Rattus norvegicus: one gene and its partners. The protein of the gene in region 2 purifies or fractionates together with the protein of the main gene of each other region. This does not show direct contact. Links are inferred from orthologs where the notes say so. Each region holds a gene or a part of one and is shown on either strand. Other genes may lie near its edges.

Region 1 (3,652 bases), on a different chromosome or scaffold from region 2:
CCAGCATGACCTTTTCATATGTAGATTCTGAACCCAAAAGTTGCTTCTTCCTCCCTCCCCTATGACAATATTTCTTTAATATTTCCAAATGCTAAGTGTAAAGACTTTGTACACACACACACACACACACACACACACACACACACACACACACACTCCTGCCATAGGCCATCATGCTTACCAAAATACTTCACTCGATTTGTGTGCATACATGTGTACAAGGCACTGTGCATCCATGACCATCCAACAAAGGGCCTAGACTCTGTCACTAGTACAGCAACACGGAAAAACCATGCATACTCAGGACCAGATATGGAAAGAAGGACAGAGAGGGACAGGGAGGGACAGAGAAGGACCAAAAAGTGAAGCTCAGTGACTGGTTCATTGCCCAGCAACAAGTGCTGACCAGCGAGGCTCTAGGGTTCACAGCAGTGAGGATGGGGCTCCCAGAGGCTCCTGAATCAGGCCTTTGCTCTAGCTCTGGGGGTCTTAAAGGAAAAGATCCCTTTGTGGGCTAACAAAAGCCAAGCCTAATGAGTACATGATATTTGAATCTCTAGTCCCCAGCTGTACAAGGGAGCCTCCCCAGCTGTCAGTGTGTCCTGGGACACGCTAAGTGAGACAGACGAAAATGAAAGCTATGGGTAAGACGACAACAGGAAAAGTAAGCACTTATGCTTCCAATGGAGGAATCTGTGCAGAGGCCAGGAGAGGAGAGCAGACACAGCCCTGTGCAGCAGTGTAGCGTCCTGCATCCAGGCTACCCAAGAAGCTACTGTGCTCATCTTAAAGGGCTGAGGCTCTCCCTGCGAAGGGGTAAGACAAGGAGTCAACACAAACAAGGAAAAAGGAGATTGTAAAAGGGCTCTCATTGAACACAAAGGACTTCCTCTTAGCTGGTATTCACCCATTGGTTCAGCTCTTTAAGATGGGATCAGTACCAAGATACAGAAAATTAGTGGAGTGAGACAGGAAAATTGAGGACAGGGACAGACAGATGTGACACCACACCATCCCCCCAACCCCCTATAGCACCTGAGGCCTCTAGCAAGTAGGTGGCCGCATAGGCCCATGGGACCCACTGGCTCGCAAGCCTCCTGAGGTAAGGATGGTGGCAGGACTGAGGCTGGCTCGTCACTGGTCTTGCAGCCTGCTACAGAGTTCCCTCCTGCTCCGTTCCCCAGCCCAGCTGCGTGTCTTGAGGCGGAAGTTCCTCAGCTCATCCCGGAAAGCTGCATGGTTCATGGGTCGGTAGTCCTGGGGCTCACAAAAGTTCTAGGGGATGAGAAGATGAGAAGAGTCCATCAGTATGGGAGAAAGAGTAAGTTCTGGGGGCTGGGGGTGGGGGTATGGGTAGGGCCTATAGCCTAGTTGGGTCCTGTTCCTACAGTCCACGATGGGAGAGCTGTGACCATCCCACCCATGGTACCGGATGCTGCGGGAAGAACTCCTTGTAGCCGCCTTTGAGGATGTACATCTCAGGGTAGTACAGGCTGGGATAGTCGTTAGCTGCACGGTCCCGTTCCCTGATGAAGCGGCACCTGGAGTATCATGGGAGGTGGTTCAGGGCAGGTCGCATGCCGGAAAGAGACCATGCCCTGTACACACTGCATTAAGAGCCCCCACGTGCACAGACTTCTCAGCACAGGCATGTCACCTGCTAGGCAAGACTGGTTACTAGGTAGCAGACACTGGGTACAGCAACATAGAAAAACCACATATACTCCAGGGTCTCCTGGATCAGAGGTGGTAAGGACTCAAGGGAAGATGGGAAGGGAGGATCGGAAAGATCAAAAAAGTGAAGCTCCGTGACTGGTCCATTGCCCAGCAAGAATCATATGAGAAAACTGGAACCCTGTGCTAGAGGGGTGAAGTTCGTGTATAGGGAATGGGAAGGAGATTCTGGTCCGCTGAGACAGATGCTAACAGCTGCCAGGTGGAGCTGGTGGCCACCCTGGACCAGGAGGCAGAAGAATAACCATGAACACCGGGACAGAGGAAAGACGGCTGAAGGAAAGCAATGGACCCCAGTGGTCGTCAGCACAGTAGCAGGGTTCCAAGTGCTTGAGTGTCACAGTATCCTCAGATTTTAAGGATGCTACTGTACTTGGCACTACGTTTTGTGGGTATGCAGCAACGGACCGAAGACGGTCTGATGATGTGGGTGGAAGGAAGACAATGGTAAGATACGTCGTCTACAACAGGAGAGCTGAGGTCAGCTCTAAACTATCACATGCAGCAAGATGCTCTGGCACTCAGTACCAGGCAAAGAAAGCCGAGGGTGGGCCCCGGCTGGCCACTGACCACAAGGATGGGACAGAGCTAGGACTCACATCCGTGGTCCACGCTCAGATGAGAATTCACAGTGGAAAATGAGGATGATTCTCTTGTCCAGGTTACAAGGCGTGATGGGATGCTTCAGCAGAAAGGTCTCGGCATCCGGTTCCAGGGGCAAGTTCACAGCATTCTGTCAGAGGATCTGGGGGTCAAGCTGAAGCCTGCACCATGGCCCTTCTTGTTCAGTTCCCAGGTAAGTAACCCCACCTCTTGCTGAGCAGAAATCCTCCCCATAGGAAATTCACCATGGAAGGCTATTCATCTTCTCGGCAAGGAATCTGAATGGAGGGCCTGGCCTTACCAGCACCCGTCTCACCTTGATATGCCCGCCTTCATACTCATAGGGGTATCTGCAGTCCACAATTACAAACTTCTCCACGATGTTGCTGAACTTGCCTGTCAACAGGGCCACCATCTGTAGGAGGCCATCAGGGTTGGTGCCAGCAGGTGAGACTGTAGTCAAGGTTTTCCCTCTCTCTTCCGATAGTCTATACATGCAGCCCATCCCCAGAGGAAGACAAGAGCCAAGAGAAGGTGGTCCCCAATGCACCTGGAGAGTGGCTCAACCCTGCTTACAGTTTCTGGTGAGATGTACTTGAGGTCTTGGTGTTTGCCATCCACAGTCTGCAGGAGGAAGGCCTGAAGGGAGGGATGAGGCAGAGTCAGGGAAACACATTGAGACACAGAGACTGGAAGGACAGAGGCAACACCGGCCTCAGCCTTCAGATTCAGCTGAGTGAAACCTCTGGGGGCCTGCACCCAGGGAACAACCTTCTGAGGGTAAAAGAGGAAGGAAAAGCCCTAGACCTTCTTGCTTCCTGCTCTTGGGTTTGAAAGCCGAAGGCTGAGGCAGGAGATTGCATACCAGAGATTGATTTGGAAATGTTTTTCGAGGATGAGATGCCTGGACAGATTTGAGGTGGCATCGGAAGGGGACCCAGAGGGAAGAGTCTGCATGAGAACAAGAATGAAAAGACACAGAGGGAAGGGGGGACCTCTGGGGACAGATGGGTCCTGCATTAGGGCTCCAGAGCGGGTGAAAGAAGCCTCCTGAAGCCCTAGAATGCTACCTTAGAGTAATCTCCAATCAGGCCACGGTGGTCACTGTCCAGGATGCTCTCAATCTCGTGACACAGGGACTTTGAGCGGAAGACCCGGGCCTTCTGGAAAGTAAGGCAGACGGAGGCCAGGGTGAGGGAAGAGACTGCCTCTCAGTGCTGTTTGGTTGAGACCTCCTTCCCCTGCCACCTAAACAACCAGCTGCACACTACCCACTGCTGCACCTTTGCCCAGGAGAGGACACCCAGAGCATCTG
Region 2 (2,983 bases):
TCCACTGCAGCCTACCACAACGAGAGGTAAATGACAAAGTCCAGCCCTGAGGCCCCTCAGACCACTTCATGCCTCAAAGGCAGCTGTCACCACGAGTACACGGGGCAGGTGCCTGGCTCAACTGCTGACTTTGCCCACTTCCAAGTCCAGGACTGAATATGTTCTGTCACCCCCACCTGTCCTACGAACATGCAAGGGCACCACAATGGAACCCTGAAGAACAGCTCACTTACCGAGAGCAAGTCCAAGCCGTTTTCATCCAGGTTCTTGACGTGGGACGCGAGGCTCCCCGGCTTCCACTTGGGGAAAGTGTTCTTGTAGTCCTGCAGGGACTCTACTTCTGGCCACACTTCGTTGTTAGGGGTGCCCAGAGCTCTGAAAGGAAAGCAAAGCCCTATTACATACACGGCGCCCTGATTATTTAACCGATGGGCTCTGAACAGCTTAGGCATAAAACACCGTTACCTGAAGATCCTGAAGAGCTGGTCAATCTCTGAGTCGCCGTGGAAAAGCGGCTTCTTGGTCGCCAGCTCTGCAAATATGGTCCCTATGCTCCAGATGTCAACCGGGGTGGAGTAGCGAGCCGAGCCCAGCAACACCTCTGGCGACCGGTACCACAGCGTCACTACCTGGCACAAGACAGATCACACATGGCTGTCTTTTAGGAAGCTGTGCTGGTGTCACCGGGAACTTAAGCCAATTGGCTACATACAAATTACGAAGGTGAAGGTATTTTATGTCTGACTTCTGCTCATTAATGGGTAAGAACAATAAACGCCTTGCTTTTCAGATCACCGAAGTCAATGGACCACAGCAGCTTTTGCCTGACTGGGTACACACCCGGGTGGCACACACCTTTATCCCAGCACGCCAGCACTCTGGAGGCAGAGGAAGGTGGATCTCTGTGAGTTTGAGGCCAGACAGACAGATAGACAAAACAACTTTCTTTTTCAACTTAAAGAAAAAGCACTAAATAGTAATATATGGTTTAGGAAAGATGCTGGACAAAGTGTGCATTACGTTTACACGTAATGGTAGCTCCAATTACCATGAATAAGAAAGCTAAGCCAGGGGTTGGGGATTTAGCTCAGTGGTAGAGCGCTTGCCTAGCAAGCACAAGGCCCTGGGTTCGGTCCCCAGCTCCAAAAAAGAGGGAAAAAAAAAAAAAAGCTAAGCCAAGCCAAAGTGGGTGGGACCCAGTTGATTAGTGATTTAGAACTAATTAGTTTATTTATCAAAATAGTGAATCTGGGGCTGGGGATTTAGCTCAGTGGTAGAGCACTTACCTAGGAAGCGCGAGGCCCTGGGTTCGGTCCCCAGCTCCGAAAAAAAAGAACCAAAAAAAAAAAAAAAAAAAAAAATAGTGAATCTACGACCTCTGTGACCAATGAGGTCAGCAGCAGTTACGGCCATCAAACTGTCATGGTAATAAACTGTGAAAAAAATAAAATGGAATAGACAAGACAGAGGCCACCCCAGTACAGTGGGTGGAGAGCTTCCCTATCACGCAGCATGTGCAGGACCAGAGCCCTGCACAGCCTTGAGCAGGCACGGCAGGGCACACGTCTGTGCAGTTTTAGCACCCAGGAAGCAGGCAGGCCGGAAGCAGGTAGCTACCCAGTCAATGAGGCCGGTTAAGGCTACAGAGAACTCTGCCTCAAAAACCCAAGGACACAAGGAGGGACCGACCCTCTAACTCCAGGTTCACAACTCCCCGGGCGCCAATGTTCCTAAGTCAACGCCCTTCCAGAAATACCAGAGAAACCCAGTCTGGTGGTGTGGACCTACAATCCCAGCTACTGGGAAGGCCAGTGCAGGAGTCCCAAGGCCAAAGTCTATCCACTCCAGTGACCTCAGGGCCAGCCGGGGCAAGTCAGTGAGACTTTCTCAAAACAAGGAGCAGGAACACAGTTCAGGGGGCAGAGTGTGTGAGGCCTGTGGATCAAACCCCACTACAGAGGAAATAATAAAACAGAGCAATCATATGAGATGCCAGCCATCAAGATCCCACTGACAAAGCTTGATGACAGGCCAAGGGCACAGCTCAGTGACAGAACATCCGGGCAGCACAGGCTGGGGTTCGGTCCCCAGTGCTCCCTCCGCTAGCACTAATTGGCTCCTAAATCTAATCACAGTACCTCAGACAGCAAAACCTGCTTTTTAATTGATCTGAATGACCACAGCAGGGTCCAATCAGGAGGGAGCACAGGTCTGGGAAAGGTCAATACAGAGAAATGAGAACTCCCAAAAACTACAATAAACCCCTTCCCTGAGGCTGAGGCAGCAATCAATCTCCCCTGACAAACGATGCCAAAGATTCCATCTCTATAGTCCACATAAACGAGAGCGGATTGATAATAAAAAAAAGCAATAAACTGATACTACAGAACTTTTTTTTTGGTCTTCTGAGACATAGTTTCTTTGTGTAGGCCTGACTATGCCCTGTAGACCAGGCTGGCCTTGAACTCAAAGAGATTCTCCTGCCTCTGCCTCTGCCTCTGCTGGGATTAAATAAAGGTGTGCACTACCACTGCTTAGCTGCAGACACTTTTTTCAACCAAGTATTTCTTTCTTGGCTTAAAGACCAGAGGCAGCACTCCAGCAACCACAATCTCAGGGCTTTGCTCACCTCGTGTGTGTACACTCTTATCGGTATTCCAAACGCTCTGGCAAGGCCGAAATCTGCCAGTTTGATTGTTCCTTTGTCATCAATCAATAGATTTTGAGGTTTCAAGTCTCTGTGAAGAACTCGTCGGGAGTGACAAAACACAATCCCCTGGAGGATTTGGTACAAGTAACTCTAGAAAAGAAACAAGCAAGTCGGAAACTTGATCATTCTACAAGATTCCTAGAGGAAAAAGTTCTGAAAAAAATAAATTATGACGCAGAGATAGCTATCACAAGACATTTTAGGCCTCTTTAGACTAACATAAAACAGGCAGACAGGAAACCTGTTTACACATGCAGTGTGCGTGTTATCAAA
Region 3 (3,652 bases), on a different chromosome or scaffold from region 2:
AGATACTACATTTCATTTCCTTTCTTTTCTTTCTTCCTTTCTTGTTTTAACTCTGAACCAAGTTTCAGATGTACCAGCTGACAGAACGCTGGTCGGAGACTGAAGAATATGCTGAGGGGCACAGGGTGATAACTGAGCCAAAAGTCAGTGGGGAAATTTTCTGGAAGATGTTAGGGGATTGGCTACAGAATAAAAGACTAGAAAGCCATCACCAAGAGACAGTGTGTGGACGCTGGGTTATGGATTGTAAACCAATAGTAACAAGGCAGTTATGAAACAGCGAGGGAACTTTAAATCCTAACCCTATGTTAAGTAATATCTTAGTCAGGAGTGATGGAGCACACCTTTACTCCCAGCACTCCGGAGGCAGAGGCAGGAAGATCTCTGAGTTTGAGACTGGTCTGATTTACACAGTGAGATCCAGGACAGCAAGGACTACAAAGTGAAACCCTGCCTCAAAAAAACCAAAAACCAAAAAACAACAACAACAAAAAAACCCTTCAAACAATTGCAGAGTGCTTTTAGATTTAACAGGGACACTTTATTTACAGATCCACACGGACACGTTTTGCCACGAGATGCTCTGTAGCCTGAGATTTACTTCAAGTTAATGGGAGATCACTCAGGCGGCAAAGGCAGGCAGATCTCTATGCGCACTGAGGGCCAGACTGGTCTGCACAGTGAGACCCTGTCTTAAAATCAGAATAAAATAATGAGTGTAGAATAAACAAACAAGAAGATTGGCCACGGGAGCCAGAGTGTTGTGGCTCATGCCTTTAATCCCAGCACTTGGGAGGCAGAGGTAGGCAGATTTCTATGAGTCTAAGGACAACCTGGTCTGTGTAGTGAGTTCAAGGCCAGCCAAGACATATAGTGACACCTATGTCAACCAACAAAAGATCATGTACTGACGGCCATAGCAACATGAGGCACAAGCTCCCGGAAGGCCTTCATGTTGTTCTCGCTTATTACTAAAATCCTTCAGTAAGTTTAAGAACAAAGTCTTGATCGTGAAGAAGAAAGCAGACTGAGAAAAAGGGAATTTTTCCCAGTTCAAAATGAGACCATCTTCTACCTTGACCCAGCTTGAGAGCTAACCTGACACCCAGAAGAAGGAGTGATGGCGGCGCAGGAAGCGGACAGGATCACAGAGCCCAACTTCCGGTTAAGCCGGGTGAGCCCTACCTCTACATTTACACAAAGGTTTTTAGCCCTGTTTCTGGCTCAGTGCGTACCTGGCAAAATAGTCCCATTTGTCCACATCAATGCCATTTCTTTTGTTAGCCACTATCTCGTACAGGAAGCTCTTCTTGGCGGGGCGCCCCTTATACGGCCACTGGAAAACAAGAGAATCTCATGGAGGATTTAGGTAGACACGGATCTATTTATAAGCAACCGTAGCGATCTGCAGATTGTAAACGAGACACTGAAGTTTGAAGAAGACGATCTTTCTCCTTCTCGCTTCTAACGAAGTAGTGAGGAAAAGAAATGGTGAAGTGCACGCTATGCTCTGCTGGTAACACCAAGTCTCACAGCGGGAGATGCAGCTCTGGCGTGCACCAGTGAGGGTCAAATGTCAGGCACAAAAATAAACAAGTAAATCAGAAGTCTATAAAGGGTTGGTGGGATGGCTTAGCAAAGTAAGGGCTCTTGGGTTGGGGATTTAGCTCAGTGGTAGAGCGCTTGCCTAGCCCTGGGTTCCGTCCTCAGCTCCGATTTAAAAAAAAAAAAAAAAAAAAATCAAAGTAAGGGCTCTTGCTACCAACCTGACTACCTAGTTCTAATCCCCAGAACCCACAAGGCGGAAGGAGAGAACAGACTTCAGAAAACTGTCCTGTGACTTCTACATGTAGCACACACACAAACAGATAAGTAAAAGTGTAACTTAAATTTTTATATAAATGAAATACTGAGCCTTCCAGTGCTGCCGAAAGGGTACTACTAATAAATTTCCCCAAACCAACAATATTTTTATTTAATTATGAACTAGTAAAAAAAAGTTCCTTAAATGGCAAACCTCGAATTTATATATTAAAATAATAATGTCTTTCACTAGGTGTGGTGACACATATCTGTAATCTCAGCACCCAGGAGACTGAGGCAGGAGGATTATGACTTCAAAGTCAGCAGGGGCTACAGAGCAAGACTCCTCCCCACCCCTGCCCTGGGAAACAAAAACAATCCCTCCCTCTGTGTGCATACATGTGTATGTATTTATATATGTATATAAAAATGTTTCTCTTAGCTCCTCCTCTCCGATTTTGTTGTTGTTTTTACCCAGTAGCCCAGGCTATCCTGGAGCTCGCTCTATAGACCAGGCTGGCCTCAAACTCAGCTTTCTTTTTGTTTTGGACAGACTCGCCCTGAGTTCATTTTCCAGGCGAGGAAGAACTTCACCTTCACCTCTCTTCCTCCTCTTCCACCTCTCTATTGACAGACCACAATAACCATGTGCCAGCACAGCATCTTTCAAAACAGTACCCACATGTGCACACATACAAGATGCACCAGTACACACGTGTGCACACATACAAGATGCACCAGTACAGACGTGTGCACACATACCAGATGTACCAGAGGTCACAGTGCTCGGGTACAAGCCTGTGTCCAGCCATGCTTTTTATTTTTAATTAAATTTCTGTTGTTTTGTTTACTTGAGACAGGCTCCCCCTACAAAGGGCTGGCTGTCCTGGAACTGTCTATGTAGACCAGGCTGGCCTCTGCCCCTTGAGTGGTGGAACTAAAGGTATCTGTGACCAAGTATGGCTTTTGACATGGGTGATGGGGATCTGAACTCAGATACTCATGCTTACATAGCTCTCTTACCACTGAGCCATCGCTCCAGCCCAAGATGTATACGTCCACATTTTGATCCTCTTGCTTCTGCATCCCAAGTACTGAGGCTGCAGACGCTAACTATCGTTTGGGGGAAATAATGTCTAACGAACTCAAGATCAGGGGAAAAGACATCACTCGTATATATTAGAAGGCAAATGCATGTAACTTACATTTTAACATTTAGCACTCCTACAACAGGACCAGATCAGACAGGAAGTACAGTTCACTCTAATTAACACGAATTAAAAACTTACCAAGCAGTCTTTGACTGGTGATACAGGTGGTCCCATAATTTGTTCCTTGATAAAGGTAATGTCTTCTTCAGGGACGAGACCATAGTTCTTCATGACAAGTTTGAGTTCATTGGAGTTAACCAGATGCTCAAACATCTCAACTGAGCCCTGTTCATGCTGGGAAAAGTCAATATAACATGGCTTATTACGGATTCTCAACATCAGGGGCTCTAACTAAACAGATTGCTCTGGATTCTAACTGTCTAGTTTCCAACTACATTGTAACAGCTTTTAAATTAGTCAGTTTTTGTGTCACTATTTTACTTGTTTATAGAACATTTCCATTTGGTTGGTTGGTTTTTTGAGACGGGATCTATCTATGTAGCTCTGGTTGGCCAGGCACTTGCTACATAGACCAGGTTGGCCTTGAACTCACAGAGATCCACCTGTCTCTGCCTTCTGAGTGATGGAACTAAAGGCATGCGCCATCACGTCTAATCACAACTTATATTAGTTTTTAAAATGCGCAATGGGAGGGGGGTCTCGCTGAAGCGTTCTCACAGATACTTTCTCTTACTGAT

What was found.
Region 1: the proteins of Cdk1 (region 2) and Cdc25b purify together in Homo sapiens (affinity purification with western blotting; 4 studies listed by BioGRID). This does not show direct contact. The link is inferred for Rattus norvegicus from reciprocal best matches to the Homo sapiens genes CDK1 and CDC25B.
Region 3: the proteins of Cdk1 (region 2) and Samhd1 purify together in Homo sapiens (affinity purification with western blotting; 3 studies listed by BioGRID, with this or other methods). This does not show direct contact. The link is inferred for Rattus norvegicus from reciprocal best matches to the Homo sapiens genes CDK1 and SAMHD1.

Annotation. Positions count from the first base shown.
Region 1 is NC_086021.1:138,866,576-138,870,227, reverse strand, and holds part of Cdc25b (M-phase inducer phosphatase 2), read right to left. Parts: intron 3,501-3,652; coding exon 3,408-3,500; intron 2,977-3,407; coding exon 2,914-2,976; intron 2,753-2,913; coding exon 2,654-2,752; intron 2,468-2,653; coding exon 2,334-2,467; intron 1,542-2,333; coding exon 1,430-1,541; intron 1,276-1,429; coding exon 1,135-1,275; 3' UTR 1-1,134. UniProt on the Homo sapiens protein: Tyrosine protein phosphatase which functions as a dosage-dependent inducer of mitotic progression. Directly dephosphorylates CDK1 and stimulates its kinase activity.
Region 2 is NC_086038.1:19,275,239-19,278,221, reverse strand, and holds part of Cdk1 (cyclin-dependent kinase 1), read right to left. Parts: intron 2,801-2,983; coding exon 2,630-2,800; intron 630-2,629; coding exon 466-629; intron 376-465; coding exon 234-375; intron 1-233. UniProt on the Homo sapiens protein: Plays a key role in the control of the eukaryotic cell cycle by modulating the centrosome cycle as well as mitotic onset; promotes G2-M transition via association with multiple interphase cyclins.
Region 3 is NC_086021.1:166,193,759-166,197,410, forward strand, and holds part of Samhd1 (deoxynucleoside triphosphate triphosphohydrolase SAMHD1), read right to left. Parts: intron 3,249-3,652; coding exon 3,093-3,248; intron 1,337-3,092; coding exon 1,236-1,336; intron 1-1,235.